Linked DNA regions of Cricetulus griseus. The main gene of each other region encodes a partner of the protein of the gene in region 6 in a complex. Links are inferred from orthologs where the notes say so. Each region holds a gene or a part of one and is shown on either strand. Other genes may lie near its edges.

Region 1 (4,091 bases), on a different chromosome or scaffold from region 6:
GAATCTGACGAACTCGGTTATGGAAGCGTTGCATCGACTCATCGTCCACACGCAGGAAACATTGCGCTGTCCGCTCCTTGGTAACCTAAACCACAAAATCAGAGGCTCTAGATGGGCTGATGACATGGTTTATAGCAGGCAAACGTGCTTGCTACCAAGCCCTATTTCCTGAGTTCAATCCCCAGAACCCACAGAGTGGAACTAACTACAAGCTGTCCTCCAAACTCCACAAAAATAACAAGGCAATAAATAAGATGAAAAGCTAACATGGTATGCATGCATTTAATCCCAGAATGCAGATTCCAGGGAGGATCTTGGTGAATTCATGGCCAATCTGGTCTATATAAAATTCCAGGTCAGCCATCACTGAACAGTAAGACCTGTCTCAAAGAAAAAATAAAAAGGGAATAGCAGGGAATGGTGGCACATGCCTTAATCCTAACCTGTGGGAGGTGGAGCCAGAGGCAGGCTGATCTCTGAGACAATCAGGGCCAGTCTGGTCTACAAAGTAAATTCCAGCCAGGGCTACACAAGCAAGGATTAATCGTGATCACTACTAAGCTCAACCCACCTAAGGGTCACTGAGCTGATAATGAAAAGGTGTGACTGTTTTTCACCCCATTGATGCCAGAGTTACAAGGGTGGTAAAGTGATGTCCTTCCTAGACTGTACCTCATTCTGAAGGTTCCAGACCCCATCCTTGTGGGTGAATTCTTCATAGCTGGTACGGCACTTAGGCAGGATGCGGCACTCAAAGCCACACATGTTGAACAGCAGGTTGGGGTTGTCTTTACTGTACACAGACACAAAGCTATTCTCCCATTGTACTGTAGTCACTGATCGTGGCAGCCGGTTTTTGATGTCCCAGAACACTGCCCGACCCCTGTCCACAGAGAACAAATAAGAATTTCAGTCTGTTGAAGACACTTGCATTCATAGACCAGACAGAAGATAGGCCCATATTCCTCCTACCCAAGATATAACCTCCTCAATTTTAATTGCTTTCTGGGTCCCTAGGACTGGCATTCTTTCTACTCCTACAAGCCCAACTGAGACTCACAAGTTGACATCATGCTTCATGAGGCGCATTCGGGCATCTCGGGGCCAGCATTTCTTGTTATTGTAGCCAACAATGTTTTCATTATTGGGGTCTGGATGCTCCGTCAGGTAACGCTGGATCAGATCCCGAGCTTCATCTGCTGTGAACCTACATTAAGACAGGGGACACTTTGAGAATGCCAGCTCCACAAGTGGGGACCCTATGCTACTCTAGACTTCATTTCACTTCATAGCTTCAACTCAGCAACTAGTCAACTAAGCTACAAGAGCCATTTCACAGGCAGGACATGCCTCAGTGCTGTGAGGACATGCAGGTTAAAGGATCAGACCATGTTCTTTACCTGAAGAAAATATGAATGCGATCAATGTATCTACAGAAGAGTCGGATTGGGTGAGCAGCCTCAGTGGCTATGTCCTGGAAACTGAGAAAGTCGTTTGGCATCTGAGGAGGCCCAGCCATCTCACTGGCCCGGTGCAATCCCAATACAAGCAAATCCATCACCAAGCCATAGTACTGTACAATGAAAGAGGCAAACTGCAGGCCTCTGATGATCCCATATGAGTTTGTATGGTTCATGTCCTAGGAAAAAAAAACAAAAACAAAAACGCACAACTCTTAGTATGGCTAAGACTGGCTCTGTCCCAGGTGCTTCAGGGTCCAATCTCCTTCACTCTGCCTCAGCAAATCCTAACTCGATGGGTCAGACAAACCCCCTGACACATTTTGCTACTTGCTCCAAGACAGACCTTATAGTTAATGACAACATTGTTCTTGGCTGTCATGTAGTCAGCTATGTTGTGGTCCACAATGAGTCGCAGCAGCCTATTAAGCAGGGTCAAGTCAATCTTTTCATACATCTTCTCAAAGCGGGACTCCAACATGACATTGCACTCGCCCTCACTGGTCTCCCACACATCCTGCAGGTTATTGATGCCTAAAAGAAGCAAAAAGACAAGAGTTTAGCAGATTAGAAATTCCTTTCCAGGTTTAGTAACTAACTATAGCAGTCTCAACACATTCCAAAACCCTCTACCATTCATTCATTCTGGCTGCTACAAGTGTCAGTTTTGCTCAACATCCACACTATTCATTTTTCCCCCTCTCAAGACAGGGTTTCTCTGTATAGCTCTGGCTGTCCTGGAACTTGCTTTGTAGACCAGGCTGGCCTTGATCTCATCAATCTGCCTGCCTCAGCCTCCTGTAAGCTGGGATTGTAGGTGTGTGCCACCAGTGCCAGGCAATAGCACTCATTCTTACCACGCAAAGAGAGCAAACTGAATGTGCAGCCTGGGTCAGAGTTTTTACATGGACAGAATCACCTTTCTCTGCTGGGTGGGAACTGCAGCGAAGTTTACCTTGGCACCACTTGTAAACGAGCAGTGGAGGCGGCTCCGTGTCGGCAGGCTTGATCCAGGGTGGGAAAAGACGGCGCTTATCTGCTTCATACCACAGGTATTGGTCCAGGTAGGCATCAGTTATTTTCTCCAGGGGCTCCACGTCATACACTGGCACCAGGTGGCTATAGAGATCCATAAACTCAATGCCTACCTGTGGGACAAGAAACCTGGTTCACATCAATTCACCAGCCAGCCTGGCATCCTCTAGATGCCAAGGATAAATAGCACAGACCAAAAGGCTCAGGGAGCATCACTCACTTCCTTAAAGGCTCTCTGCGTGAGGAGGTGACGCTTGATGCGGGACAAAGCCTCATGGGGGTTGTCATAGGCTTGCTCGATCAGACCCAGCTCTTCCCTCTGAGACTGGTTTAACCTAGACTTCACACTAACAAAGCAAAGGAAAGGTGAATGAGAAAACCCAAGAAGTTGCAAAAGGACTACACCTTTCTTTGGACTCGGGCCACAATGCCATTCCCTATTACCCTCCCAGTCATTCCTTACCTATAAGCTTCCTTGAGGCGTTCCAGAGCTAGGATGAGCAACTTGGTGTCATGCTTGTAGGAGAGTGGAGGGAATGGGATGGGAGAGAATCTACGGCTTTCCAACCAATGCACAGTGGTAGTATACACAGCCACTGCTTCTTCTGCTGTAATGTAAGGCCCATCCTGCAAGGTGAACATGAATGAAGCTAGTCTCCCACTATCATCCAAACCAATACAAAGCATGATCTCCACTCTGCAACCCACTTTACCACCCAGCCCAGCTGGTCCAACCTTCAGGTAATTGTGCTGCCGTTCCTGTTCTGCCTTCAGGTACAGGCGGGTGAGGCGGCCCAGGTTCTTTTTGCAAACAGTCTTGTCTACAGTGGCCCCACGGCGGATTCGTTCACGGTTGTAGTGAGCAGTATTGGTCCACCAATCAGCCTTGGCCTTAACATACCGAAGAATCATATTCTCTATAGGTGTTGGCAGGCCTGGGACCTGAAAATACAAACACAATGAAAAAGTAAGTTTCACGCCCATGTCCCAGCATAAAGGCAGACAGATCTCTTGAATTTGAGAGCACCCTGGCCTGCAGAGTTACAGGTCAGCCAGGACAACACAGTGAAACCACCTCAAGAAAGGAGGGGTTGGGGTAATAGAAGGTGGAAGGCCCTCTAAAGGTACTCTAATCCTAACCTCAGGAAGATGAATGGCTATGTCTTCTTGGAGGCAGAGGAAAGCCTACCTTCCAGGGAATGTTGGCCTTCCAGCAGCGCCAGGCTTCACTGAGGTGCTGCAGAATTGTTCGGGCCTTATTCTGTTTGATGCCTTCAGGCATCATGTCCAGAATATCGTGCATCACAGCTGCCCTAAGCTCAAGGTCAAAATGGGACTCCACTCTTTGCTTTGTTACTGTCTTTGCTACCCCCTTTGAGTGACGGCCTGGAAGTGAAGAGACAGCCCATAGATTACATCAATAAATAGTAACAAAGTGACCATATGTTCCACACATGCAAAAAGACAAGCCACCTTAACATTCTCAACCATACTTCTGAGGAACTTGTACTGCAACTGCATGATAGCTCAAATCTGACAGAGTAGCTAAGAACAAGAATACGAAGGAAAAAAAAAAGGTATGCATCACCATACCTG
Region 2 (4,091 bases), about 33 Mb from region 6:
GGGACTGGGTAAGGGGAAGTCAAGCATTGCGGCCAAGAAAAGCAGTCAAGATGGCGTTGGTAAAATGTTCAACAGTAAAGGCGCTGGCCACCAAGCCTGAGGACCTGAGTCTGACCCCTGGAACCTACATGGTGAAAGGATAGAACTGATTCCTGCAAGCTGCCTCCTGAGCCCCTACATGGCACACACACACACACACACACACACACACACACACACACACACATACACACATATATACACATACTCACATGCATACATATACACATACATATATACACACACATCGATACACACATATACATACATAAATACACACACACACACACTCACATACATACACACATATACACACATGCATACATATATACACATACATGCATACATACACCGATACACACATATACATACATAAATACACACACACACACACACACACACACACACTCACATCCATACACACACACACACACACACACACACACAGACTCACATACATACACACATATACACGCATGCATACATATATACACATACATGCATACATACACACATACATATATACACACACATCCATACACATATACATTCATAAATACACACACACATACATATACACACACACTCACATATACACACATATATACACATACTCACATGCATACATATACACATACATACACACATACATATATACACACACATACATACACACATATACATTCATAAATACACACACACACACACACTCACATACATACACACATATACACACATGCATACATATATACACATACATGCATACATACACACATACATATATACACACACATCGATACACACATATACATACATAAATACGCACACACACACACTCACATATACACACATACATATACACATACATACACACATACATATATACACACACAGGCATACACACACACACAGGCATACACACACACACATACACACACATACATACACACATACACACACATACACATACACACACACACACATACACACACACACATACACACACATACATACACACATACACACACATACACACACATACATACACACATACACACATACACACACACACACTTTTTTTTTTTTCAAATGTAAAAAAGCCAACAGGGCAGGGAAGTCCGGCAGCCAGGACAGGAACACGTTGTCAGTATCTCTGGGTCAGTCAGAACAGCTATTCTCACCAGAAGAAGCGGAAGTTCGAGCACGCCTTAAAGGAAACACCGCTTGGCCAGGTGGCTGTTGCTGAGACCCACAAGACTGAGGCCAGCTCATGTTACATAGTGAGTCCCAGGCCTGCCTGGGCTGTAGAATGAAACCGTGTCTCAAAACACTAAAGAGATCTGGTGGGTTGAGTATGTCGGCCGTGGGAAGAACGAGATTGAAGGAAACAAGAGTCTCTGAGGGGCATAGGCAGCAGGAGTGAGGTGGTGGCATCCACCCCCCCCACCCCCACCCCACCCCCGCGTGTACCTGTAGCTTGCAAGGTCGGGTTCAGAGAGGAACTCCCGTAGCAGCATCCCATCCGTCATGTAGCGGAGAACGGTTCGCTCTGATGTGCAGTCCTCAAAGCGGATGCTGTAGCCAACCTGGCCAGAGACAGGTAGGAGGTAAGATTGACCAGCGCCCAGACCTGAGATGTGGGACCGTGAAAGAGGCTTCCCTCTCCTGAATCCCCAAAGAACTTACCTCATTCCCAAGCTTCACACCCATCTCCCGGGCCACTCTGGCAGCCACGCTCATGGCCGCCACTCTTCGGGGCTGGGTACAAGCAATCTTCATACCCTTCTTTGTGTAGCCCTAGAAAGAGAGGAGAGAGAGGTGTTCCTCTGCCAGGCATCCTGGGGCGAGCCAGGCAGGGCAGGAAAAGAGAACGGAAAAGAACAGACTGAGATTAGAAACGAGGGCCCCCAGGGGACGCCGGGCCAGCCCTGCAGACCTGCGCTTACAGTCAGGGCTCTGCCAGACTTGAACTGACCAGGGACAGACTGGCTGGGGCAACAGCCAGAAGCCAGGGGAGACGGGAGGTCAGAGAGTAAGGAAAACAAGCGTTTTCATTCTTGGTTCTCTCGCCCCTGAAAGGGGAAGGCAGGGTAGAGGTCACACGGGGCTGAAGCATGTCAGGTTCAGATTCATGCTCTTCATCTCTCGCTGCTTGCAGGGCAGACCCGTACGTCCTCACTCACACCCGGCACGGTGTGACAGCATCGAGAACAGAACGGCAGGGAACCTGATCTGACTGTGTCTGAAAAGCCTCGGGACTTGCGCGACGGACAGGACAGGCCAGGCCAGGCCAGGCCAGACCAGGGCAAGACAGGACAGGACAGGACAGGACAGGACAGGCCAGGCCAGGCCAGACCAGGGCAAGACAGGACAGGACAGGACAGGACAGGACAGGACAGGGCAAGACAGGACAGGACAGGACAGGCCAGACCAGGGCAAGACAGGACAGGACAGGCCAGGCCAGACCAGGGCAAGACAGGACACGACAGGACAGGCCAGACCAGGGCAAGACAGGACAGGACAGGACAGGACAGGCCAGACCAGGGCAAGACAGGACAGGACAGGATAGGACAGGACAGGACAGGACAGGACAGGACAGGACAGGGCAAGACAGGACAGGACAGGACAGGCCAGACCAGGGCAAGACAGGCCAGGCCAGGCCAGACCAGGACAGGCCAGGCCAGGCCAGGCCAGGCCAGACCAGGGCAAGACAGGACAGGACAGGACAGGCCAGACCAGGGCAAGACAGGCCAGGCCAGGCCAGGCCAGGCCAGACCAGGACAGGACAGGACAGGACAGGACAGGGCAAGACAGGCCAGGACAGGACTCTTGCAACCCCTCCACACACACGGGTCTGCCAAGGCTGACTCAAGGTCCGGGCCGCAGCGGGCACGGTGTGATGGCTGACCTCCTCGAAGAGGTACTGCGGGATCTGTGTGGTCTTCCCGGAGCCGGTCTCGCCTTCGATGATGAGGACTTGGTGGCTGGCGATGGCGGCCAGGAGCTCCTCTCGGAAGGGGAACACGGGCAGGCTGCGGCGGACAGCCTGGATGGACTCCTTCTGCTGGGCCTGGGCTGATGGGGGTGGAACTGACGACGGCTCCTGAGGAGGAGGAGGAGGAGGAAGGGGATGGAGAATGGGGCCCCTGCCCTTTTCAGAGTGTCCGTCCGTCCCGTCCCGTCCCCCCCCACAGACGTCCCAGACTCTTGCTGGCACACACCTCGTCTCCCTGCAGCTGAGCGGCTCGGACGAACTCGATGGTCTCGTCCTCCTCCAGCACCAGCTGGTACTTGGGCTCCTGGGCGGCGGCGTCCCTGGCCCCGAACTTGAGGGATGCAGCACCTAGCCGGGCCTCCTCCCAGCGCCGCTGCTCCTCTCCTGGGGCGCCCGATTCCTCCTCCACGACGTCCACAGCTCGAGCTGGCTGCGGAGAGAGGCAAGGCTGCGGGGCCTGGCGAAGGGTGGTCCTAGCTGTCCCCTCGCTCCCTCCGCCTGCTGTGCCCCACCCGTGAGCAGGGGGAGGCGGCGCCCCTCACCTGTCCCCGAGTCTCCTTGGGCATATGGTACCGGTTGGTGGCCTCCAGCTTCTCCTGCTCGCCGGCCGCCCGGTACTCCCGGGCCAGGTCCCGCACTCGACGCTTGTACTTGAGCTCCCTGCGCTCGTGCCGGCTCAGCTCCACGTCCCCAAACAGGACCTCCTCATCCGCCAGCTCTGCCTCCAGGTCCTCCAGCTTCTCCCGCTCGCGCTTTGCCAGGTACTCGCGGCGAGACTTCTTGCGAAGCTCGGGGACCTGGGCCAGGAAGGACAGTCACAACCTCACCCTACCAGGGAAGCAACACAGTTCCCCACTCGAGAGATGCTGGCTGCCTACGGGACAGCAGAAGCCGAGCTGTGACTCGACCCCCCGGAGTCAGGAGGGTTTGTAACTTTTCCTGGTGGTTCCTGTCAGTCAGCCCCCCCCTGCGCTACGGACTGAGCAACCACCCCACAGTCACCACACTCTCTCCCCAGCCCTTCCCGCCATGGCCAACCGCTCCATCAATCTTTCTT
Region 3 (4,091 bases), on a different chromosome or scaffold from region 6:
CTAATAGCATGGGGGGGGGGAGGATATGGAAGCACCACAGAGTCTGTGGGGAACACTCTGTTTCTCACTGTCCCAAGTCACTACACCTAAGACCCATCTTCCAATCTAACCATTGCCCATCCATTTTGCCAATCCTCCCAGTAAGGTCAAGTTCACCTACCTTCTTTTGTCCTGCACCTGTCCCATGGCTACAAAGCTGGACTTTCAATGTCCCTACTCTAATTCTTTCTCCACACTACTATTTTCTAAATTTATATTCCTCCACTTAAAATCAAAGGTTTTTCATTCTCCCAGTTTATAAAACACTCACAATTGTAAGAGAGCAAATAAGATACTGGATGGTCCAGTTTCCTCCCATCTCATTTGTAAGAGAGCAAATAAGACACTGGATGGTCTAGTTTCCTCCCATCTCATTTGTCCCCTACTCCTCAAACACAGTGAGATTCTTCACCCTGCTTCTCTACCTTGGTATTTCTGTTTTCTGATCAATTCTTCTACCCTTCATCAATACCACGTCCTCCTTAAAACCTCACCTGTCCATCCATGGTCTCAACTAGTATAATTGTTAATGCAATTATAAACTAAGTAATTTGTTAAGATATCACCTGTCTCCTAAGTTTATGAGAGTTACCCATCGGTCATGCACACAGGGTACACGAGACCTCGGACTCTGTAATTAATGCTTAGGCACTTGTGTGTAAGCTTCCTACAATTTAATTCAAATCTGTTCACACTTAATTACTTTGCCACTGACCAAAACACACATACACTTAATTTTTACAACCGGAGAACTCTTAGAAAAAAGTGAAATTTGTATTTACCCAGCTCCTCTTCTGTTGTTTCTGGAAAACCGATCTTTGGCTTTGCCAGTTCAGCACTGTCTTCTTCTGTGAAGAGAAAAGCAGTGACGACTGACTAGGAAGCACAACAGGGTTGGTTCCTCGAACTCACATAGGGCAATTCCTCTTTTAAAACTCACACAGGGCAATTCCTCTTTTAAAAGTTACTGTGATTCCAAAACAGACATCTCAGAGTCACTTTCAAGTACTACAGCCACACTGGGATTAGTAGTAAGTGTTTGAATTTTTGTTTCTGGGATGAAAAACATGTTTTCAGTGGGAAGGATCAAGTAATTTAATACTAAAAGGGAACTGGATAGATACTTGTAAATTCTTCATACTGTCTTCTAACAATTGTTATTCTATTTTTGTGTGTATCTGAGCCAGTAACCACTGGGCTATCTCCCTAGTCTCTTTGTAATAAATTATGAGTTAAGTTCATTCAATTCATCACATAAAGGAGATTGCTCAATTAGAACATGGCTTCACTATGCTTATACCACATTACATAATTCAAAATCTAAGGGAAACAAGGCAGAATGAAGCAGAATTTAAAAATGACACAAATCTATGCATTATAATTTGATAACTTTGACTAAACGTCCTTACCAGGAAGCACGCATTTCCAAAGGCCATAGGTTTTTCCTACCACAGTTTGCCACAATCTCAATGTCCCATCTTCAGAACCACTGGCATAGAGCTCACCATCAGGACTGAATCTCACACAGTGAATGGGACCAAAGTGACCTTTGTAGGACTCTGAAAAAGGTAGGAACAGAGCTATCAGATCTCAACAGAAAGCTAATTACTAGGCTAAGTATTGATTTACTAAAAGAGCACTGTCTATGTTCCTGGGAGACCATCTCACCACTTCCTTAGAATTAGCCCTTTCCAATCAGTATGTCAGAGACTGACTGTCTTTGAAAACAGAATAAGGTTTCCACTCCCAGAGAGAATTGAGGAGCTGTCAATAAGGACTAAGGTCTGCAGAGACTGGAGCTGAAGTCTGCCAACTCCATCCTGGGTTCTAGGTCCTGAATTCATCAATTGTTTTTAGAGGAACCAATTTCTTCCATGCCTGGTGAGAGCCACCAGGTGGAGCTCTTTTACATACTCTATCTTAACTCCCTAACCAGGCTTTCTAATTCTAATATAAGCCTGAGACACAGACTCAATCCTGACCCCTACATTTATTTTAATGTAAGAAATTTTATGAGAAAATGTATAGGTTGGGAAGGTTTCCTATCTCAATAAAACACTTTCGAACATCTCCCATATATAAACTAATGCCCCATCATTTTACTCTGGCATTTCCTCCATCTCAGACTAGCCAGAGATTAAAAGCGTGTAAAAACATAGGGGCTTAGGTAGAATACTTTCTATCATACACATAGAATACTTTCAATCCTCAGCCTGAGCTCCACCCAACCCAACCCAACCCCCCCAAACTGCCAAAATAAACCAAAGTTGTTTGAACAGAGACTGAGAAGAGAATGGCTGGGTCCAAAATGCACAGCTGTCCATTTCTTCCTCCACTTAGCACAGCCTGGGTTTCATTGCTGCCAGCCGAGTACCTCCTCCACCCCAACCCAGCCACAGCTCTCTAGAGCTGAGAAAAATGGAACATGTGACTGAAATATTCCAAAACTGACTAAAGCAACCCCAATCTACCAGTTTCCCCCAAGAAACAAACAAAGCTACTTCCTGTTCTTTATGTACAAATCTAGACAGCTTAGTTCTTCAGTGGAAACCAGAATAGTTTAATAAAGATAAGTGGCAGTTTATAAACAAAAAATAAGATTTTCAAACAAAAAGCAAATTAGACTTGGTAAATAGGCATAAAAGTCAGTACTAAAAAATCTTGCTCTTTCAAACTATCTGGCATACTATTACATACATTATAAAGTTAGGAAGTATTTCTTCAAATTAACATACATCAACCATTCTACTTCTTAAGAACTATTATGGCCAGCGGCAGTGGCACATGCCTTTAATCCCAGCACTCGGGAGGCAGAGGGAGAAAGGCAGATCTCTGTGAGTTCAAGGCCATATAGAGTGAGTGCCAGGACAGGCTCCAAAGCTACAGAGAAAATCCTGTCTCAAAACAAAAACAAACAAACAAACAAAAAAAAACAAATATCCTTGTGCGTGTTTAATATTTGACTTAAAACAGATACTCCCTCTCCCAATAGTCTGGAAAAAAAAAAATCACTGTGCTATAGTACAGAACATCAGCACAAAGAACAGTCAAAACCGAGTTCGGTATATTTTGCCTGTGAGTCTATAAATTTCTACAAAAATGGAAAAAACACCTTCATTTTTGAATATATGAGTTTTAATTAGCTGTAAAACTTACTTTCAGCACACTATAGGTCAGTATCTGAGGTACTCATTACTAGAAGTTAATATTTTGATAAAGTAATCTTTTAAGACAATGGTTTTCAACCTTCCTAATGCTGCAACCCTGCAATACAGCTCATGCTGTGGTGACCCCCCAACCATAAAATTTATTTTTGTTGCTACTTCAAAACTCTAGTTTTGCTACAGTTATAAATTGGAAGAATCTGTTTTCTGATGTTCTTAGGCGATGCCTGTGAAAAGGCCATTTGACAAAACCAGGAGTTGGACCAAGGCATTGAGAACCACTGATTTAAGGGACAAAAAAAAAAAAAAAAAAAAAAAAAGGAAAGAAAAAAAGACTTACCTAATTCTTCTCCACTGTTATAATCATACTTATAGAGTTTAAAGTCTTCTCCACCTGCAACAAGAAATTCCTTCTCAGGATGAAGAGATGCGGAATTGATGGTTGCAGGAGCTTCAAATGATTTAATTGGCTCCAGACTGGGAAGAAAAACCACAGAAACATAAATGCCTACAAAAATTTTAATACTATATAAATATCTACCCACATTAAAATTATTCCTAAATTCTGAAATGCAAGGAATAGTAGTTAAATATTCATCAATCAAGTGTAAATGAAGTGTTAAAAAATCAACATGAACAAAAATGTTCAAGATTGTCATATGCAAGTAGTCTTCACCTGAGGAACAGTTAGTGGGAATCCATAGGCTAAGCAGTGGACAGTTCCTGACTGACTTCAGTGACTTGCTAACAGACTCTATTAGGGACCTTTTATTGCTTCTGAGGCAGATTCTGTAGAAAGTTCAGAGTGGCCTTTAACTCCTTAGCTACTCACTGGGGCTGGGATTACAGGTACTAATGCCATGCCATGCTGGAAGATGGTTCAGGAAT
Region 4 (4,091 bases), on a different chromosome or scaffold from region 6:
CTGGCCACCTTTAGGCTATTTGGCCCTTCATGGTACCAGGTTTGCTGATACTGAATAGGAAATAACAGGAGAAATGTTAGGTCTGAAGCACACAGACTCTCCCCACGGCTGTTCTTAATTGTAATTGCTCACAAAGAAAGTGAATTGTAACAGAATGAAGCAGCCACATGTCCTTTCTATTAATTACCTTTTGTTTTCTTTAAAAACATTTATTTAACTATGTGTTATGTGTCTATGTGGGGGTATGTACATATGCACGAAGACGCCATGGAGGCCAGAAGATGGCATCAGATTGCTTAGCAGTGGTGGGCTGCTGGACTCTTGAAGAGCAGTGCACACTCTTAAGGGCAGAGCAATCTCTGCAGCCCCTACTTTTTTCTTTGATGTCTTACTAGTTTCTGGTTTCTTACTGAGTCACATTGAGTGCCTTCTTGAATGGAGAATTTACAGCACCATTCACAGTTGTTTAAGAATTACCAATTCCTGCCATCAACCATTCCAGAATGGCAGAACCTCTAGATACCTCTCCTCATCCTAGCACAGCATGGCACTGGAAAGAGCTAGTCTCCAATTTCTTCACATTTTACCTCTTCTTTTGACTTCTTAGATTTCTCATCATCTTTTTTTGTCTTTTTTAAGGCATCAGTTCCAACCACTGAGAGAATATTTCTTAACCTGTAACAAAAAAACGTCAGAAATCAATATGGATGAAATAAGACTGTTAAAAGGTTCAGTAGGACCCCATCACCACTTGTGAGAGAGATGTGTCAAGATCCCTGCACAAGAATGCCTACAACTGCAGGGAGCAATGAACCTTACCTATACTGTGTGTCTTTCCCAGCTCACATATTATGATAAAGTTTAATTCATAAATTAGGCAAGGTAAAATGCTAGTAACAAAAAACCAGATTTTTAAAATTATATGAACAGGGTCTGTTTTCTTTCTCACTCTCAAAATATCTTATTCTACTGCACACTAATGGAAAGGCAGCATAGACAGCAAGGACACAGAAGACAAAGGGACACAGCTGGATGGTGTGGGATTTCAGTACATCACTCAGAATGGTGTGCAATTTAAAATTCATCAAGTGTTTACTTCTGGCATTTGCCTAGTCAGTATTTCGGGGCCTCATATGATTATGGATGAGAGAAACCAAGGAAAAAAGCAAGACCACAAGCAAAGGGGAAGGCTGTGTACCCTTTATTCTTCCCTCTCAGACCCCCTCCACTCCTCTTTATTTGAAGGCTTTCTAAATGCTGCTATCAGCAATTATTCTCTTCCATTTAGAGTCAACTGGTATCTATACACAGCTGTCACTTAGTCTCTAAGGACAGCTGGAATCCACTTAGTGCCATGCTGAGCAAGGCACTAATTCAGGGGCTAAGTATATTTAATGACTAAGAATAGTTGCAAGCTGTGCATGGTGATGCACTCGAGAGGCAGAGGCAGGTGGATCTCTGAGTTCCAGGCCAGTGTGGTCTATAGAGTGAGTTCTAGGACAGCTAGGGCTAGATAGAACAATCTTGTCTTGAAGAACAGGTGGGGAAAAATAATTCTGAAGGAACTAGCCTTGAAGGCACACACCTTTAACCCCAGCATTTGGAGGTAGAGGTAGGTGGCTTGTCCTGAGTTCTAGGCTAGCCTGGTCTACAAAGTGAGTTCCAGGCCAGTCAGTGCCACAGGTTGAGATCCTGTTTCAATAAAATAAAAATTAAAAGCCAGGTGTGGTGGTGAGCTCCAGCCAGCCAAGGCTATATAGTGAGTCCCTGACTGAAAACAACAATAACAAAACTAAAACTAAAGAATAATTCTGAAGAGACTACAGAACACAGTCCATTATACCAGCATTAGACAGCAGTGAGCAGAATGTGAAATAATATGGAAGAAGTATGGAATCTAGGCTTGGGAGGAGTGTGGAGCAGGTATCAGGGAAGGCTTTACAGAAAAGGCGTTGTCAAGTGCTCATTCAGGCCAAAGAGTCAAAACAGAAAAATGACAGTTGAGGCAGAGGGTTAAAGAAATGTAAAGTCAGGAAAACAGACTGAGCTTAGACCCACAAATGGTTCAGTAGAGCTGGAATATGGGATACAGGAGGAGGCTTGGTGACTGCCAAAACTGGTATTCAAGTGGGGGCTGGGTCACCAGAGCAATTCACACTACACATAGGAGGGTCTGCAATGAGAGTGATATGGCAACAGGTGGGAGAGTGAGAGTGTCATGGCAACAGGTGGGAGAGTGAGAGTGCCATGGCAACAGGCAGGAGAAGAAGAATAAAGGCAGAAAACCAGACTTTAGGATCACAGCAAGCCCAAGCCACTGAGGTGGCCTGAGTTAAAGTAGTGGCAGTTGGGACTCAAGGCATTCATCTTGATAAAGGACAACAGACATGGCAGATGAAAGAGACAAACAGTAAATTAAATATACCGAGTCAGGCTGGTGAGGTGGATCAGCAGGTAAAATGCCTACTGCCAAGCCTGCTGACTTGAGACAGAACACTGTGACACATAGTGAGAGAGAACCAACTCTCACAAGTTGTTCTGTGACCTCCACTCCTGTATGAAGGCATGTACATGTCCACACACACACAAATAAATAGGATTTTAAAACGTATCCTTTAAAGAATGCTTCCTGCTCTTCCAGAGGACCCAAGTTCAGTTCCCAGAATCCACACCAGGCAGCTCACAAGTGCCTCTAACTCTAGCTCCAGGGGATGACACCCTCTTCTGGACTCCCAGGGTACCAGAACTCATGTGCACAATACTACACACAGATGCACACGGATTTACATAATCAAAAATACATCTTAGAAAACAACAAACCCCCAGCATTTCAAACAAACTTCACAGGAGAGCAGGAAAGGGTTTGATAGAACACATACCAGAACCTTGTCATTAACAAAAAAAGTGTAACTATAAAGGATACCTTTCTCTTCGTTCAGCAGGGCCTTCTCCAAAAAGTGTGATAGGTTCTCCCAAGGCTCGAAGGCAAGCCTTGACCTCTGAGTCATCCGTGGAAACATTGATTTGCCGGGCTCTCTTTCTTCTTTCAAACTCTGCCAAGACTTCTGCCTGCCGCTCACTGATGTGCTCCTCAATTTCAAATACTTCCCCTATGCAAAGGACAGGCAACATGGGGGAAAGAAACAATCAGTCTCTGTATCCTAGAATATAGCTTCTTATATTGGATAGAGTGCCATAAGGTATGTAACTGTGGGGCTGTTGAAGAATTCAGCAATATTGAAGGGTTTCTGAAGATGCAGTGACCAACAATTAATCCAAAATCAAATTCAAAACAAATCAGGGTTGCTTTTGGCAGGGCCTGTGGGCCTCATCATGAATCTTTGCTGCAACCTTGGTTTTGAGCATGTGCAACTCTGCAATGTACTTACAGTCTGTCATGCCATGCGACACTAAGGAACACTACCTCAAAAGCCTGTTATGAATTGTAATATCCCTTTTTTGGCTTTTTTGAGACAGGGTTTCTCTGTGTAGCCTTGGCTGTCCTGAAACTCACTTTGTAGACTAGACTGGCTTCGAATTCACAGAGATCCGCCTGAGTGCTGGGATTAAAGGTGTGAGCCTGGCCAAATTTCCACATTTTTACAAAGTTTGCTTTTATAGAGACATGATTCAGCTACGGGAAAAAAAAGATTTAATTTCCTCAGCATCAAGTATCAAATAGTTTTATCTCTCACTTATACTGTATTAAAATGTTTGATTATTTAAAATTGTTGCTTGGCCAAAACAGAAAAGAAGGATGGTGAAGAGCTCAGTGTGGCAGTGCATGCCTATAATATCTGCACATGGGAGGAGGCAAGAAGACCAGGAGATCAATGTCAGACTTGGCTACACAGTGACTTTCAGGACAACATGGGCCATACAGACCTTGTCAGAAAGAAAGGAAGGGCCAACAACAAAAAAAAACTCACTATCTGAGTTGCTGATTTAAATAAATAAATGAATGAATGAATGAATGAATGAATGTACCATGAAAAACATTTAAAATGCTCCATGTCTTGCAATATTAAATATTCAGGCAAGATTTAATTCTTTATTAATAAATATGTCTGAAGTGTAAATCCAATTAATCT
Region 5 (4,091 bases), on a different chromosome or scaffold from region 6:
CAGTGTAGACCAAGCTGGCCTTAGACTCACAGAGATTTGTGCCTCCCAAGTGCTGAGGTTTAAAGGCATGTGCCACCACGCCCAACTTTGTTTTCATTTTATGCATATAAAATGTGTTTGCCTGTATATATATTATGTGTATATGAGGGACGCATGTGCCTGGTGCCCTTGAAGGCCAGAAGAAAAAAAAAATAATAGAATAAAAATAAAAAATAATAGAAGAAAGTGTTAGATCCCCTGGAACCAAAGTTACAGACTGTCGAGCCACCTCGTGGGTTCTGGGAACTGAACCATGGTCCTTTGTAAGAACAGAAAATGTTTTTAACTGCTGAGCCATCTCTCCTGCCCCATAAGTTGTTCTTGGTATGTATGTGTGCCAAAGAATTTCTAATAAAAGTATTAAAATCTAAACTATTGGTTAAAATTTCTAGTATCGTTTTTTTTTTTTTTTCTTTAAAGTCTGCCATGTACATTTTAATGGAGGTACTTGGGAAGTATAGATAGCAGGCAAGTAAATGATCTGTTTCAAAAGCGCATTACACCAGCATCAGCCTAAAAGGTAAAAGGAAGGTGTTGGTCCTGATGCAATTTACGTATTGGGGTGATTAATTTTGATTGTCAATTTGCTACAACCTGAATCACTGGGAAGGGAGCTTCAGTTGAGTACTTGTCTAAATTAGGTTGGCCTGTGGGCATGTCTGTAAGGGATTGTCTTGATGACTGATAAAAGAAGACAGCCCATTGTCGGCACCACTATCCCTTAGGCAGATGGGTTCCCCACTATGTGAGTCAGGCGAAAACTAAATGAGAGCAAGCGGCAGAGTCATTGATTTCTCCCTGCACTTGACTGGATATAATGTGACTAGACGCTTGAGTTCCTGCCTTGACGTCTCTCAATAATAGACTCTAACTTGGAATTATAAGCCAAATAAACCCTTTCCTCCCTGATTTTCTTTTGGTTAGGCTATAACAGACAGAAATGAAACTAGAACACATATATAAATATATTTTTGTTTTTTCTGACTCTTGTAGAAGAAAATATTCTGGGTTTTTTCTTTTTGTTCATTTTCACTTTCCTAATTTGTGAATAGAATTGATTCCAGAAAACAGAAACATTATAAATAGGATGAGGGCAATGGAATTTTCTAGGCCCAGTGAATTTGGAAATTATTTAGTAACCGGACTTAAATTTCTGATGAGTTTTTAATCCAGGATAATGGTGCTATAGGCAATTTATATCATCATTAATTTCAAGTCCTAGTGAGCCTCAAAAATAGAGATCACTGATGCATAAGATTTTGTTGGCAGAATGTATTTGGATACTGACTTGATTAGAAGATTTCAAATAATTTAAATGCATGGGGTCAAGGGAAAGTGATCATCTTGGAGCCAGGGCAGCAATTTGTGTACATATTTTAAGCTCCTTTAGTTTTAAAATCTGAACGACAAAACTGAGTATCCTAAATGCGTAAATATGCTGAAAGGACATGTTGACATGTACAGCGACTTAATGAGGCTGCTTCCCTCCACCCTGTGTGTTCCTAAGCTGCTTGTGTTTGAACACTTTTAGGTCATTTACAGCAAGTACACTGACCTGGTTCCAAAGGAGGTTATGAATGCAGATGATCCAGACCTGCAAAGGCCTGATGAAGAGGCTATTAAAGAGGTAACTAGGGGTTGGTGTATGTGATTATTTTAGATGACTTTGTGTCCTTATTAATTTCCAACTGCTCACCGTGCTGCTTCTCATCTCAGATAACAGAGAAGACAAGAGTAGCCTTGGAGAAGTCTGTGTCGCAGAAGGTTGCTGCAGCCATGCCTGTTCGTGCAGCTGACAAGCTGGCTCCTGCTCAGTATATCCGGTATGCACCCTGCTGGAAGTGTTAGTTGCATGTCAGACTCCCTAGGTGGGATTTTGAAGACTCACCAGCTTACAAAGCCAGTTCAAATGCATTGTCTTAATGACCTTTGAAGCCTATCAACTCTAGTTTGCAAAAGGCTTTTTTTGTGTGTTTGTTTTTAATTTTCAGGTTTATTTATTTAGTGTAGAGTGCTCTGTTTGCATGTATGCCTACAGGACAGGAAAGGGAATCAGACACAAGGTGACATTGAATTCCATAAAAATGGTCCTGAGCCACCATGTGGGTGCTGGGAACTCAGGACCTCCCAAACCACTGAGCCATCTCTCAGTCCCCAGAAGTTTTTTTTTTAATCCCTACATTAAGATGTTAACGGTCCCAGCACTCGGGAGGCAGGCCTCGAACTCACAGAGATCAACCTGCCTCTGCCTTCTGAGTGCTGGGACTAAAGGCCTGCTCTACCACCGCCTTGATTTTCAGTTTTTTAGAAAATAATTGTTACCTATGGTATATGACCCAAACGACAATTGTTTATAGTTTTTGATTATATTTAATAAACTTTTATAATGCTGCTAAATGTTGAGGGCCTTTACTGGACTGTCTTTGTGAAGAATGATTGGAACTAGATGTTAAGGGAAAATTTTGAGTTAGGGCTGCTGCTGCAGTTTTTACAGCATACATTGCATGTTGCCAGTGGGCATACTATTGTAACTATTTTCCTTTCTTTAAAAAACTTTTACTCATTTATTTATTGTTATTATATATGTATGTATGTTTTGCCTGCATGCCCAGTGCCCAACGAGGCCAGAGGAAGAGTTGCAGGAACTGAAGTTGCAGGCAGTGGTGAGCAGCCATGTGGGTTCTGGGAATTGAACTTTGGAAGAGCAGCCAGTGCTCTTAACTGCTGAGCCATCTCTCAGCCCTGGCAATTTTATTCTATAATGTAGACTTAAAAGCAGGTGTTAGTTTTAGACCTGGGGAAGCTGGACAGGTGTATTTCCCAGGTGGAATGTGGAAAGGATGAAGAGGGAAGTCAATAACCACTTAAGTGCATATTTTGTTTGATTTCACTTCTGTTTCTTTTCTGGTCTGCTTCTGACTGCCCTGCCTAAATGTATGGTGATTTTATGTCAGTACTTCCTGAAAAGAATTGAAAGTATAGTCATGTGGAACTATAATAGAAGATAAATGCCTACCAAAAGCTTGAACTAATTACACCTTTAATTTTCATCTATTTAGCTACACACCATCTCAGCAAGGAGTAGCATTCAACTCTGGAGCTAAACAGAGGGTTATTCGGATGGTAGAAATGCAGAAAGATCCAATGGAGCCGCCAAGATTCAAGTAAGTATGGCTTCATGAGTGTCTTAATTGAGGTTTTTTGTTTGTTTGTTTGTTTTTGTTTTTTGAGACAGGGTTTTTCTGTGTAGCTTTGTAGATGAGGCGGACCTCGAACTCTCAGGGGTCTGCCTGTCTCTGCCTCCCGATGCTGGGATTAAAGGCATGTGCCACCACCGCCCGGCTTAATTGAGGTTTCTATTGCTATGATGAAACATCATGACCAAAAAGCAAGTTGGATAGGAAAGGATTTATTCGACTTACACTTTAGCATTGCTGTTTATCACTGAAGGAAGTCAGGACAGGACAGGAACTCAAAACAGGCCAGGATCCCTGAAGCAGGAGCTGATGCAGAGGGCTATGGAGGGGCGATGTTTACTGGCTTGCTTCCCATGTCTTGCTAAGCCCGCCTATAGAACCCAGGGCCAACAGCCCAGGGATAACATCATGGGCTGAGCCCTTCCCCATTGATCACTAAGTGAGAAAATGTCTTACACCTGGATCCCAAGGAGGCATTTCCTCAACTGAGGCTCCTTCCTCTATGATTCTGGCTTATGTCAAGTTGACACACAAAACCACCCAGTACAATGAGGATCAACAAAAGATCCCACATGTTCGTTAGTAGGTGAATACGTAAGCAAACATCAGTACCTCTAATATTACTGAGCCAAGCAAAGAAAAACTACTACAATAACATAGATGCCTCTGAAAATAATTGTGCTACATGAAAGAAGCCAGACAAAACAAGTAATAGAGTGTTATGGTTCTGTGTATAACTCAAGAAAACGGGGTCAGCAGGAAGGCTCAGAGGTTAAAGAAACTTACTGCCAGGTCCAGTGGTCACATGGCATCAAAAGAGAACCCACTCTTGTGAAGTTGTTCTCTGACCTCCAT
Region 6 (4,658 bases):
GTAGCTGTGTACTACCCTGCCTGACTCTGCCCCAGCTTATAAACAGAAAATACTATGCAGAGGTGTTTGGAGGATGCCTTCATTTCTAAAGGACTGGGGACCAGGAAGGAGACAGGGGCACCTGCAGGAGCCATCACAATCCCAGAGATACACTAGTGAAGTGGTCAGTGCTCACCTGCTGCTGGGGTTTGCTCTACACAGCCTACTGATCTTTATGCAATGTGCTTAGGCTCTGGGTCAACCTAATGAAGACTCATCATCTTGATGTGGGCAGTATTATGGGCTAAATTATGTCCCTGCAAAAATTAGGACACAATGAAGTCCTAATTCCCAGTACCTCAGTTTACACACTCTAAAGTAAATCAAAGTGAGCATTCATCTGTTATCACCGATTCTGGAGGGAACAGGGGGCAAGGGCAGCACAAAGCTCACACACAAGACACACTGCTTTCCAAGATTTAACCTGATAATGTACTAAGATTTGTGTCTTTGCATCACATGGGCTGCACTTCTGAGAATACCATAATCTAGTCAGACAAATTCCTGTTATAGTTGGGCTGTTTGAAGCCCACCTCGGTAAGTTTCATTAATTAGAGCAGCATACTAAATATATTAATAGTCACTATCCAAATTCTTTCATTCTACTCCCAAAACTAAATGCCCTAAAACAGACAAATACATCTTTTTTGTTTTGTTTATCGAGACAGGGCTTCTCTGTGAAACAGTTCTGGCTCTCCTGGAACTCAGAAATCCACCTGCCCCTGCCTCCTAGTCTTGGGATTAAACGTGTGCACCACCATGCTCAGCCTTCAGCTTCCTTTCTTATTCCAGAAACAACTGCCTAGAAGTGGCTTAGCCCTTAATAAGCTGGGCACTTACCCATCAATCACTAATCAAGTAAATGCCCCACAGAATTGCCTATAGGATAGGCATTTTCACAACTGAGGTTCCCCTTTCTAAGGTGACTCTCACTTGCACCAAGTTGACAAAAAAACTAAGCAGCACAATTACAGTAGTTTAAATGAAAAGTATCCTCCACAGTTGCAGGCATTTGCACACTTGGCCCCCATGTGTTGGTGGGTTGTTTTGGGGGGGGTGGGATGAGGGGATGCAGCCTTGCTGAAGGAAGAATGTCACTGGAGGCAGGCTTTCAGATTAATACCCTCCAACACTTCCAGGTAGCTCTCATTACTTCAAGCTTTCTATTGAAGATGTAAGCACTCAGCGTCCTGCTATTACCATTTCTCCCCTCCACGATGGACTCATTCCTTTGTAATTGCAAGCCTAAAAAAACCCCTTCTAATGGTGTGTTATCACAGCCACAGGAAATAACTAATGCAAACCCTAAAAGGCAATAGTCAGGCCACCTGACCCACAGGTGTGATTCTAAATAATGTACTTTCCCTCTCCAACCTTTACTTTTCTCATGTGGAATACAGTTAACAGGCACCAGTTATTGCACGCAAAGCACTGAGCTGGCCACTGTGAACACACAGCCATCTGAACTCTCTATGACAACTCCAAGGTATGTGTATTAGACCTGGAGCAGTCAGAGATATTACCTTTCACCCACAGTTCCTTCACAGGTGCAAAGCAAGGTACCTGGCAGTTCATGTTGTCCTCTGCTTCAATGAGCTTCCCTCGATACACCTCGCCAGTGTTGGTCTCACAAGTTACGATGTGGCCCTCAGCCTCGTGCAAGACTTTAATCGGCACACCGATAGACATCTTGGCAGGAGTGTTCCTGTGGAAGAGAGAGACAACAGCTGTCTTTCAGAGCTTAAGAAGGACTGGCATACCATACCCTTTGCAAATATGTCAGAGCTGCATTTTCTTTCTTTCTTTCTTTCTTTTTTTTTTTTTATTCTGAGACAGCGTTTCTCTATGGCTTTGGAGGCTGTCCTGGAACTAGCTCTTGTAGACCAGGATGGCCTCAAACTCACAGAGATCCGCCTGCCTCTGCCTCACGAGTGCTGGGATTAAAGGTGTGAGCCACCACCACCGCCCGGCCTAAGCTGCATTTTCTGTGGAAGGAGTCTGACTCTTGGTTTGAAGGAACCACCATGGCAAGGACACACTGCCTTCGAGCTGGGAAGGATGGCAAGCAAGCTGGACAGAAGAGGCTGGTGGGAATGAAGAGTGCCTCTTATCTATTCCCAAACACATGACCCTTTATAGTCACCCAAGAACTATGATATGGACCTCAAAAGCAATCACTGCTTACCTGTAGCTATTCAACTGAAATATAAATTAAAAAGCCCCTCCCCTCCCAGTCACACTAGTAATATTCCAAGTGCTCAGCAGACATAGACCCTGATAAGATAGCAAGGCGTTCACAAAGTGACAGGAAATGCTCACAGGAGCACCATCAGGGTCGACGCTCGATTTAAGCCTCAGTAAAAGACGGAGGCTAAGCGCAACTGTGATGAGCGTTCCCACCTATGTCCATGAGAAGGCTATAAGGATGCTGGGCGCTGTCTCTCTTGGTGAGGAACCACGGCTTTCAACTTAAGGAGTGTGAGTTTTATGCTGAAAACGGTGGAGGGGGGGGGACACAAAAGGGTCATTGCCAAAGGCTCAGTAGAAAACAAAAAGGAATAATAGCAGCATCTGCAGGATAGCTCGAACATGGCCCTTCTGCAGCACAGCGACTCGCTAAGACTCGTGCAGCAGTCGTGGAAGGCAGGGGAGGGCCAGCGCCGGAATCCGAGGGGAGCAGGGATGCAGAGGACGCTGAAAAGGAGGGCACACAGGGAAAGGGGGTATTTCGTGAGAAACGACTGCGGGCGAGCTCCGAAAATCGGCGAGCCGGAAAGGCACAGAACGCGCAGACAGGCGTAAACGAGGAGCTGCTCCAAGCGCGGGTGAGACGGTGTTTGGATCGGCCCAGGCTTCCCGCCCGCCATTAGTGCCCCGCTGAGCTCCTCCGCAGGCTCCCTTCCTGCCCCTAACCCTCCGGGGACGCCTAGGCCTCCTCTTACCGGTTCTCCGCCTCTCCTCACCGGCTCCCTTTCGGCCCTGGCACAAACGTTACACGGCGAAGGCGTGAAGCGAGGGAATGGCGGGCCCGGGGTACCCAGAATACCACGCGTTCCCAGGATACCGCGCGCAGGGCCCCTCCTCTTCCTTTCCCCAGCGGCGAGAGCGCTCTGACGTATGCTTCCTCCTTAACTCCGCCGGCTCGGAAAACGACGGCTCTGGCATTATCGTTCCGGCCCTGGAGAGGACCCGGGGGGCCGCCGGAAGCATCCGTCCTCGAGCCCCAAAAGGAACATGGAGACCCCCCCCCCACTTACAAAGTACTCCAGGGACGGATTGGGCGGGAGCTAGGCTGGAGCCCCAAAATTGCTGTGGTGCCACAGGAAGTGAGGCTTGGACTAGGAATCTAAGCTTTGGATCTGGTCGCCATCAGGTAAGCGGCGCACCGAGCGTGGGAAACTGGCATTTTTCATCGTGTGGCTAAGACCGAAAGGGAGGCAGAGGAGGATTCCCGGGGCGTTTCGATGAGGCAGGCACTGCGAGGGGCCGGCGCTAACACCCGGGGCTGCAAAGGAGCAAGCCGAGCGGAGGGGGTTTGGGAGGAGCCAACGTCGCTATGGAAGGGCCTGGGGGCGGGGCCCGGGAGGGGCGGGGCTTCCGCAGAAGGCGGGCCCTGCGGGTCGCTCTTTATGGGAGAGAAGTGGGTGGGCGAGGAGGCGTGGCCTAGGGGAGGGGCGGGTCTCCAGGCCGGGGACCTGGCAGGGACGAGGCGGGGCTTGAGGCGGCCTAGCCCCCGCCCACCCGGCTCTGAACCGCGGAGGCGGCGGCGGCGGCGGGCGGCGGTGGCGGCGGCGGCGGGAGGAGGAGGAGGAGGAGGAGGAGAGGCGGCGGCGGAACTCTCCCCACACTGGCCGCGCTCGCTGCCCAGCACAAGTCGCAGCTGCGATCAGCTCCAGGCCGGGGCCATGGGCGCCCTGCGCCACCCGGGTCATGAGGACGGAGGCAGAGGCAGCGGGGCAGCCGCTCGAGCCCGGTCAGTGCCTCTCAGAGGGCCTTGCCCTCACCGGGGAAACCGAGGGGGACTCCGCCCTGGAGCTGGGCAGGGTCTGGCCGCGCGACCTTGGGCCGCAGGCGGCCTCAGCCCAGACTGGAGCTTCCAGTGGACCTTAGCTAGGTGGATGGATATTCCTTCTCGTCTCCCGTCCTCCGCTTCTGGTTGTTTCTCGGGGAGTTCTGAGAGCAGTCAAGTGCAAAAGTCCGAGGGGGCAAAGGCACTGCCTTCCCCAGAAACGAATGGTCCTGCTTGAACCCCGTTGCGTGATGCTGTTCCTAGGGGGAACTGTGGAAGGCCTGGGGCTGTGAAGGGGGAAAGAACGGCCTGAGATCCCTCAGCAAAGGGAAGGGCCTTTTTTTTTTTTTTTTTTTTTTTTTTTTAATCTGGCTTCCCAAACGCAGCGCTTTTGTCTTAGTACTCTTCTCTCTCTGGTTCCCTCCGCCCCGAGGAAACCCGAACCCCTTTGCTTGCTCAAGAAGTGGGGAAAGTTGGAAGTCATGGTGGAGCTCTGCTTGGGGCACAAGAGTTGATATATTAATAAGCTGTTGTGGCGTGCTGCTATCTCATGGGAAGGGTCAAGGGGTTTGGGGCCTGAGCCCTTCCTTAAGTGTCAATTGGAGAGTAA
Region 7 (4,161 bases), on a different chromosome or scaffold from region 6:
AAAAACCAAAAAACAAAAACAAGGTTAGAGGAATAAATTACAAACTCCTGGGCATATAAACAACAGTTAGAAGTCACTGAGCAGAATAAGATTAATTCATTCAGCAAATAATTATTGAGCCTTTATGCTAAGCAGTGATCTAAGCAAATAAAACACTATACTCTAGTGGAGCTTACATTCTAATGGGGTAATAAAATAACTTAAGAATATAGACAGTAATCATCTCTTATCCCAGTCTATAGGTCTGAAAATATTAAATGGAAAATTCTAGAACTAAGCATTTAATGTTCTAAGTCATGCACCATTGTGACTAGCATGAGGAAATACCATATTTTTGCCCTAACCACAAATCTTCCCTTTGTGTAGGTTTCCACACTGCATACGCTACCCTCTCGGTAGCTAGAGGGATCATCAGATCAACTGACCTGCGTTGCAGTGTTTGTGTTCAGGTGGTCCTTGTTTTGTTAATAGTCCTAAAGCACTTAATTAGTGATGCCGGCAATTCAAAGGTACCCAAATATGCTTTCTTTAAGTGGAAAAGCACAAGTTCACTGAAGTATACATATGTAGAAAAAATACAGCATATTCAGGGTTTGGTACTGTGACTCGGAGAAGGTACTGGGAGTCTTGGAAGGTAACCCCTCCAACAATGAGGGGACTACCGCTTAGCATGTCAGATAGCAATCAATATTAAAGACAAAAAATGGGAAGGACTCGTTTCTTATCTATCTATCTATCTATCTATCTATCTATCTATCTATCTATCTATCTATCTACCTACCTACCTATCTATAAAGAGAAAGGACGATCAGGGAAGTCCTCACCAGGACAGTGTTATTTCAGTCTAAACATGAAGAGGAAAGGGCGAGACAAAAGCAAATGCAAAGGTACAGATGAAAGAACATTTCAAGCCTTAGGGGAAAATCAGTAAGAGTGAGTTCTGTGAGTGAGTTCACGAGAGCGCTGGGTTCAAGAACTGGAGTAGGGGAGGGGTTCCGGGGAGAGAAACACGCCACCCTCGCGGAGACTAAGTTGGGAAGGTGTGTGTCCAACGAGGATCCAATGCTTTCAAGGGCGTTCAGTTTGATGTTTATTACCAAATATGATGGTGTACGCCCGCGTCGGTACTAAGGATGCTATAGGTAGGAGGATCGGAGCTTAAGACCAGCCTGGGCGACACAGTCTCTAAAACAAAACAAAACGAGAGGGAGAGCTCGATAAAATTAAAACGAAGAAAAAAAAAAAAAACCAAAACCACACACACCAAAAAAATCAAAACAAAAACAAAACCCCAAACAAACCGGCCGCAGTCAACACCTTTCCACGCCCTAAACTGCTACCAGGGCCCGGAACTCCGGGGCGGAGGCCGAGCCGGAAGTAGCCTCACGAGGGGCGGCACTTTGCGGGCTGCATTTCCGTTAGCGGCGGCGGGAATCGCGCTGCTGGCTGGCGACTAGGCCTCTGTGGAAGCGAATCCGGCGGGCATCTGAGACATCGGAGCCGCCACCATGGTAAGAAGGCGCGGGCTGGCCGCGGGGCGCTCAGGGGTGCGGAGTGGGGCGGTGGCTGGCGGCGGCCGTGGGTTGAAGCCGCCCGTGGCCGACAAGGTCGGGGTCGAAGCCGCTTAATCCGGGCGCCAAAGGCCTGGACTTGCGGAGCGGCTGGGCCCGGGTGGAGGGGAAGGCTGCACCGGGGACCGAGGCCGCCGTGCGTGGCCCGGCGCCTCTGCGGTTACAGTTCCGCGGCCTCGGTAGCTGGAAACGTGTGCCGGGTCGCTGTGTGCCCGGGCTCCCGGAGCGGACGCGAGCCTCCGGCCGACCGGGGGACACCGGGCCGGACGGAGGAGAGGCGGAGGGAGCGGGAGGGTGGAGGAGAGTGTTTGCATGCAGAGCGCGACCCTGCTACGCGTATTTTTATGTTGGGGTATGTCAGGCGCTGGGGCTGCACCCTGAAATAAGTTGTGCGTTGGTTCAGTTTCTGGCTCTGTGCAGGGCTAATGTGATTCTCTATGGCAGTTCGGCTTTAGGCAAAAAAGTAACGGCAGGGGGAGGGGCGGGACGGGTCCAGAGCAGACGCCCAAGTGATTGTTTAGGAGCGCCCCGCTCCCCTGTACGAGGGAGGGTTAGAAATCTGGAGAACCGAGAGGGCCCAGTAGAAGGCAACGAATTGTCAGGAACCTGGTTGCTGAAGTCCCTGCATCTTGTTTTCCCTCTTGGTAGTAAGACATCGCTGGAAGAGTTTTCACAGGCTTCATGGACTTAGGTTTAGAAAGGTCAGCCGGGAAAAGTGGCCAGTGCTCGAAATTTGTAATTTCTGTGCATAGTAGGCAGAGGAGCTTGAATTTTGAAGCCAGTTTTGGCTACAGAGCAAATGTAACAAATGCCTCGAATGTCTCCAAAAATATTAGTCTAGTTAAGTAGCTGAAGAAACCCGAGGTAGCGAAAATAGGTTATTGTTTTTGAGAGTTGACTGAGACAAGTCCTTACTTAACCTTCAGCTTGGGTCGTCTATTTGGTCAGTAAAAAGGAATGACAGTGGACCCAGTTTTGAGGATTAAAGGAGATAAATCCTTTTCAAGGGCCTAGCCATACATAGCTATTAAATATTAGCTATTGGACCGATATACGCCGATCCTAGTAACAGAGCTCTTTGAGATGATTATTTAAGCAGAAAAAAATACAAAATCTGGTTTTCAGGTTAGGGCTGGGTAATGCTCACAGGGGTGAACAGCGTTCCTGGTACAGAGAAGACAACTTGGGTAGTTAAAAGTGACATAATGCCAGTTATAGTTGTGGGTAACTGATACGTTTCTGAGAGAGACTACCACAGATACCTCTGTTCACCTAGGGGTGTGTATAAGCGCCTTTATTTTTGCAAAGTTACATTGGGAACCAGGATAGAGAATGTTGTTTGCCTTAATTAAAAATTAGACTATTATATTATATATATATATTAGACTATTAAGTATCCAAACTAATTAGCACTCTGGCCCAGAAAAGTTGCCCAAGTTACCCTACTCCTGTTCTTGCTTCAGAGCTGGTTTCACTTTCTGGTAATAAGCTTTTCCTTAATTAAGTGAATCCACTTAGTGCCTGTTGAATTCCAGTTCTTAGTTTAGATGGATTTAGTTGTTCGTAGAACTGAGTCTATATAGTGGTGGATGGCTTAATGCCCACTAGGTCTAGTATGGGTGGATTTGATTAGTTTGTGAACACTTTAACTCTCCTGAGACAGATACAACATAGACAAAGTTGTAGTCCCAGGGAGATTGCCTGTTTTAAGGGCAGGGAAAATAGCACATTAATGGGCAGAAATCAAGGCTAAAGCTGGTTGATAAGAGTCTCAGAAAAGGACCTTGTTTGGAAGATGTCAGGAAATTGTTGAGAAGGTTGGGAATAGAAAAGTAGGCTGTGGTGGAAGATGGGGGCGGGGAGCAGAAGTGTGTGAGCGAGTCCTCCCTGCTCCCTCTTTGCAGACTGTGGGTAAGAGCAGAAGTGTGTGAGTGAGTCCTCCCTGCTCCCTCCTTGCAGACTGTGGGTAAGAGCAGAAGTGTGTGAGTGAGTCCTCACTGCTCCCTGCTCTCTCCTTGCAGACTGTGGGTAAGAGCAGCAAGATGCTGCAGCACATTGACTACAGGATGAGGTGCATCCTGCAAGATGGCCGGATCTTCATCGGGACCTTCAAAGCTTTTGACAAGCATATGAATTTGATCCTCTGTGACTGTGATGAATTCAGGAAGATCAAGTAAGGAGAGGGCTGTTGGGAGGGAGAAGGAACTGGGATGGACTGGATGGATGGGCGGGCCAAGAGTGGGATGGCCATTCAGCTAGGTGCTCTTGTTTGCTCACTTGCTTTTGAAGGGAGAAACTTAAAGGGGAATGTTAGCTGCTAAGGAATCTCTTCCTTAATCCAGAAAACCTTGCTCTCCAATTCTAGCAAAGTAGAAGTTGGTGAGGAGGGCTGCTAGGCTTTTAATTTTTCTGAGTTTGCATGCCCCTGGGTACTGGGGTAAAGGGCTCTCATGTTCTCCCCACAGGTGTGTGAGGGGGGAGAGCTTGATTTTCTGGCCTCATTACCTATTTGTAAAGCTGTAGCCTAAAGGGCTCTCCTATTGCAGCCTGGTCTGAAACTGCTTTAAGAAGCCTCTGACCCTCTTCAGGG

The links.
Region 1: Snrpd3 (region 6) and Prpf8 share a complex: the UniProt entries of both Homo sapiens proteins name them as parts of the U4/U6-U5 tri-snRNP complex. The link is inferred for Cricetulus griseus from reciprocal best matches to the Homo sapiens genes SNRPD3 and PRPF8.
Region 2: Snrpd3 (region 6) and Dhx16 share a complex: the UniProt entries of both Homo sapiens proteins name them as parts of the minor spliceosome. The link is inferred for Cricetulus griseus from reciprocal best matches to the Homo sapiens genes SNRPD3 and DHX16.
Region 3: Snrpd3 (region 6) and Strap share a complex: the UniProt entries of both Homo sapiens proteins name them as parts of the SMN-Sm complex. The link is inferred for Cricetulus griseus from reciprocal best matches to the Homo sapiens genes SNRPD3 and STRAP.
Region 4: Snrpd3 (region 6) and Prpf4 share a complex: the UniProt entries of both Homo sapiens proteins name them as parts of the U4/U6-U5 tri-snRNP complex. The link is inferred for Cricetulus griseus from reciprocal best matches to the Homo sapiens genes SNRPD3 and PRPF4.
Region 5: Snrpd3 (region 6) and Snw1 share a complex: the UniProt entries of both Homo sapiens proteins name them as parts of the minor spliceosome. The link is inferred for Cricetulus griseus from reciprocal best matches to the Homo sapiens genes SNRPD3 and SNW1.
Region 7: Snrpd3 (region 6) and Snrpb share a complex: the UniProt entries of both Homo sapiens proteins name them as parts of the U7 snRNP complex. The link is inferred for Cricetulus griseus from reciprocal best matches to the Homo sapiens genes SNRPD3 and SNRPB.

The regions. Positions count from the first base shown.
Region 1 is NC_048600.1:88,942,704-88,946,794, reverse strand, and holds part of Prpf8 (pre-mRNA-processing-splicing factor 8), read right to left. Parts: intron 3,882-4,091; coding exon 3,685-3,881; intron 3,438-3,684; coding exon 3,231-3,437; intron 3,123-3,230; coding exon 2,959-3,122; intron 2,843-2,958; coding exon 2,716-2,842; intron 2,609-2,715; coding exon 2,416-2,608; intron 1,995-2,415; coding exon 1,807-1,994; intron 1,640-1,806; coding exon 1,401-1,639; intron 1,208-1,400; coding exon 1,061-1,207; intron 884-1,060; coding exon 673-883; intron 86-672; coding exon 1-85. UniProt on the Homo sapiens protein: Plays a role in pre-mRNA splicing as core component of precatalytic, catalytic and postcatalytic spliceosomal complexes, both of the predominant U2-type spliceosome and the minor U12-type spliceosome.
Region 2 is NW_023276806.1:229,786,949-229,791,039, reverse strand, and holds part of Dhx16 (pre-mRNA-splicing factor ATP-dependent RNA helicase DHX16), read right to left. Parts: intron 3,832-4,091; coding exon 3,577-3,831; intron 3,465-3,576; coding exon 3,261-3,464; intron 3,143-3,260; coding exon 2,948-3,142; intron 1,837-2,947; coding exon 1,726-1,836; intron 1,626-1,725; coding exon 1,510-1,625; intron 1-1,509. UniProt on the Homo sapiens protein: Required for pre-mRNA splicing as a component of the spliceosome. Contributes to pre-mRNA splicing after spliceosome formation and prior to the first transesterification reaction.
Region 3 is NC_048601.1:11,282,282-11,286,372, forward strand, and holds part of Strap (serine-threonine kinase receptor-associated protein), read right to left. Parts: intron 3,681-4,091; coding exon 3,544-3,680; intron 1,599-3,543; coding exon 1,449-1,598; intron 888-1,448; coding exon 822-887; intron 1-821. UniProt on the Homo sapiens protein: The SMN complex catalyzes the assembly of small nuclear ribonucleoproteins (snRNPs), the building blocks of the spliceosome, and thereby plays an important role in the splicing of cellular pre-mRNAs.
Region 4 is NC_048595.1:83,456,656-83,460,746, forward strand, and holds part of Prpf4 (U4/U6 small nuclear ribonucleoprotein Prp4), read right to left. Parts: intron 3,111-4,091; coding exon 2,924-3,110; intron 676-2,923; coding exon 588-675; intron 51-587; coding exon 1-50. UniProt on the Homo sapiens protein: Plays a role in pre-mRNA splicing as component of the U4/U6-U5 tri-snRNP complex that is involved in spliceosome assembly, and as component of the precatalytic spliceosome (spliceosome B complex).
Region 5 is NC_048598.1:116,339,040-116,343,130, forward strand, and holds part of Snw1 (SNW domain-containing protein 1), read left to right. Parts: intron 1-1,570; coding exon 1,571-1,666; intron 1,667-1,755; coding exon 1,756-1,862; intron 1,863-3,098; coding exon 3,099-3,203; intron 3,204-4,091. UniProt on the Homo sapiens protein: Involved in pre-mRNA splicing as component of the spliceosome. As a component of the minor spliceosome, involved in the splicing of U12-type introns in pre-mRNAs.
Region 6 is NW_023276806.1:263,063,044-263,067,701, forward strand, and holds the start of Snrpd3 (small nuclear ribonucleoprotein Sm D3), read right to left. Parts: upstream 3,136-4,658; 5' UTR 2,982-3,135; intron 1,745-2,981; 5' UTR 1,729-1,744; coding exon 1,603-1,728; intron 1-1,602. Other genes in the region: protein GUCD1, read left to right, coding at 3,970-4,012. UniProt on the Homo sapiens protein: Plays a role in pre-mRNA splicing as a core component of the spliceosomal U1, U2, U4 and U5 small nuclear ribonucleoproteins (snRNPs), the building blocks of the spliceosome.
Region 7 is NC_048599.1:48,439,450-48,443,610, forward strand, and holds the start of Snrpb (small nuclear ribonucleoprotein-associated proteins B and B'), read left to right. Parts: upstream 1-1,361; 5' UTR 1,362-1,508; coding exon 1,509-1,511; intron 1,512-3,592; coding exon 3,593-3,744; intron 3,745-4,161. UniProt on the Homo sapiens protein: Plays a role in pre-mRNA splicing as a core component of the spliceosomal U1, U2, U4 and U5 small nuclear ribonucleoproteins (snRNPs), the building blocks of the spliceosome.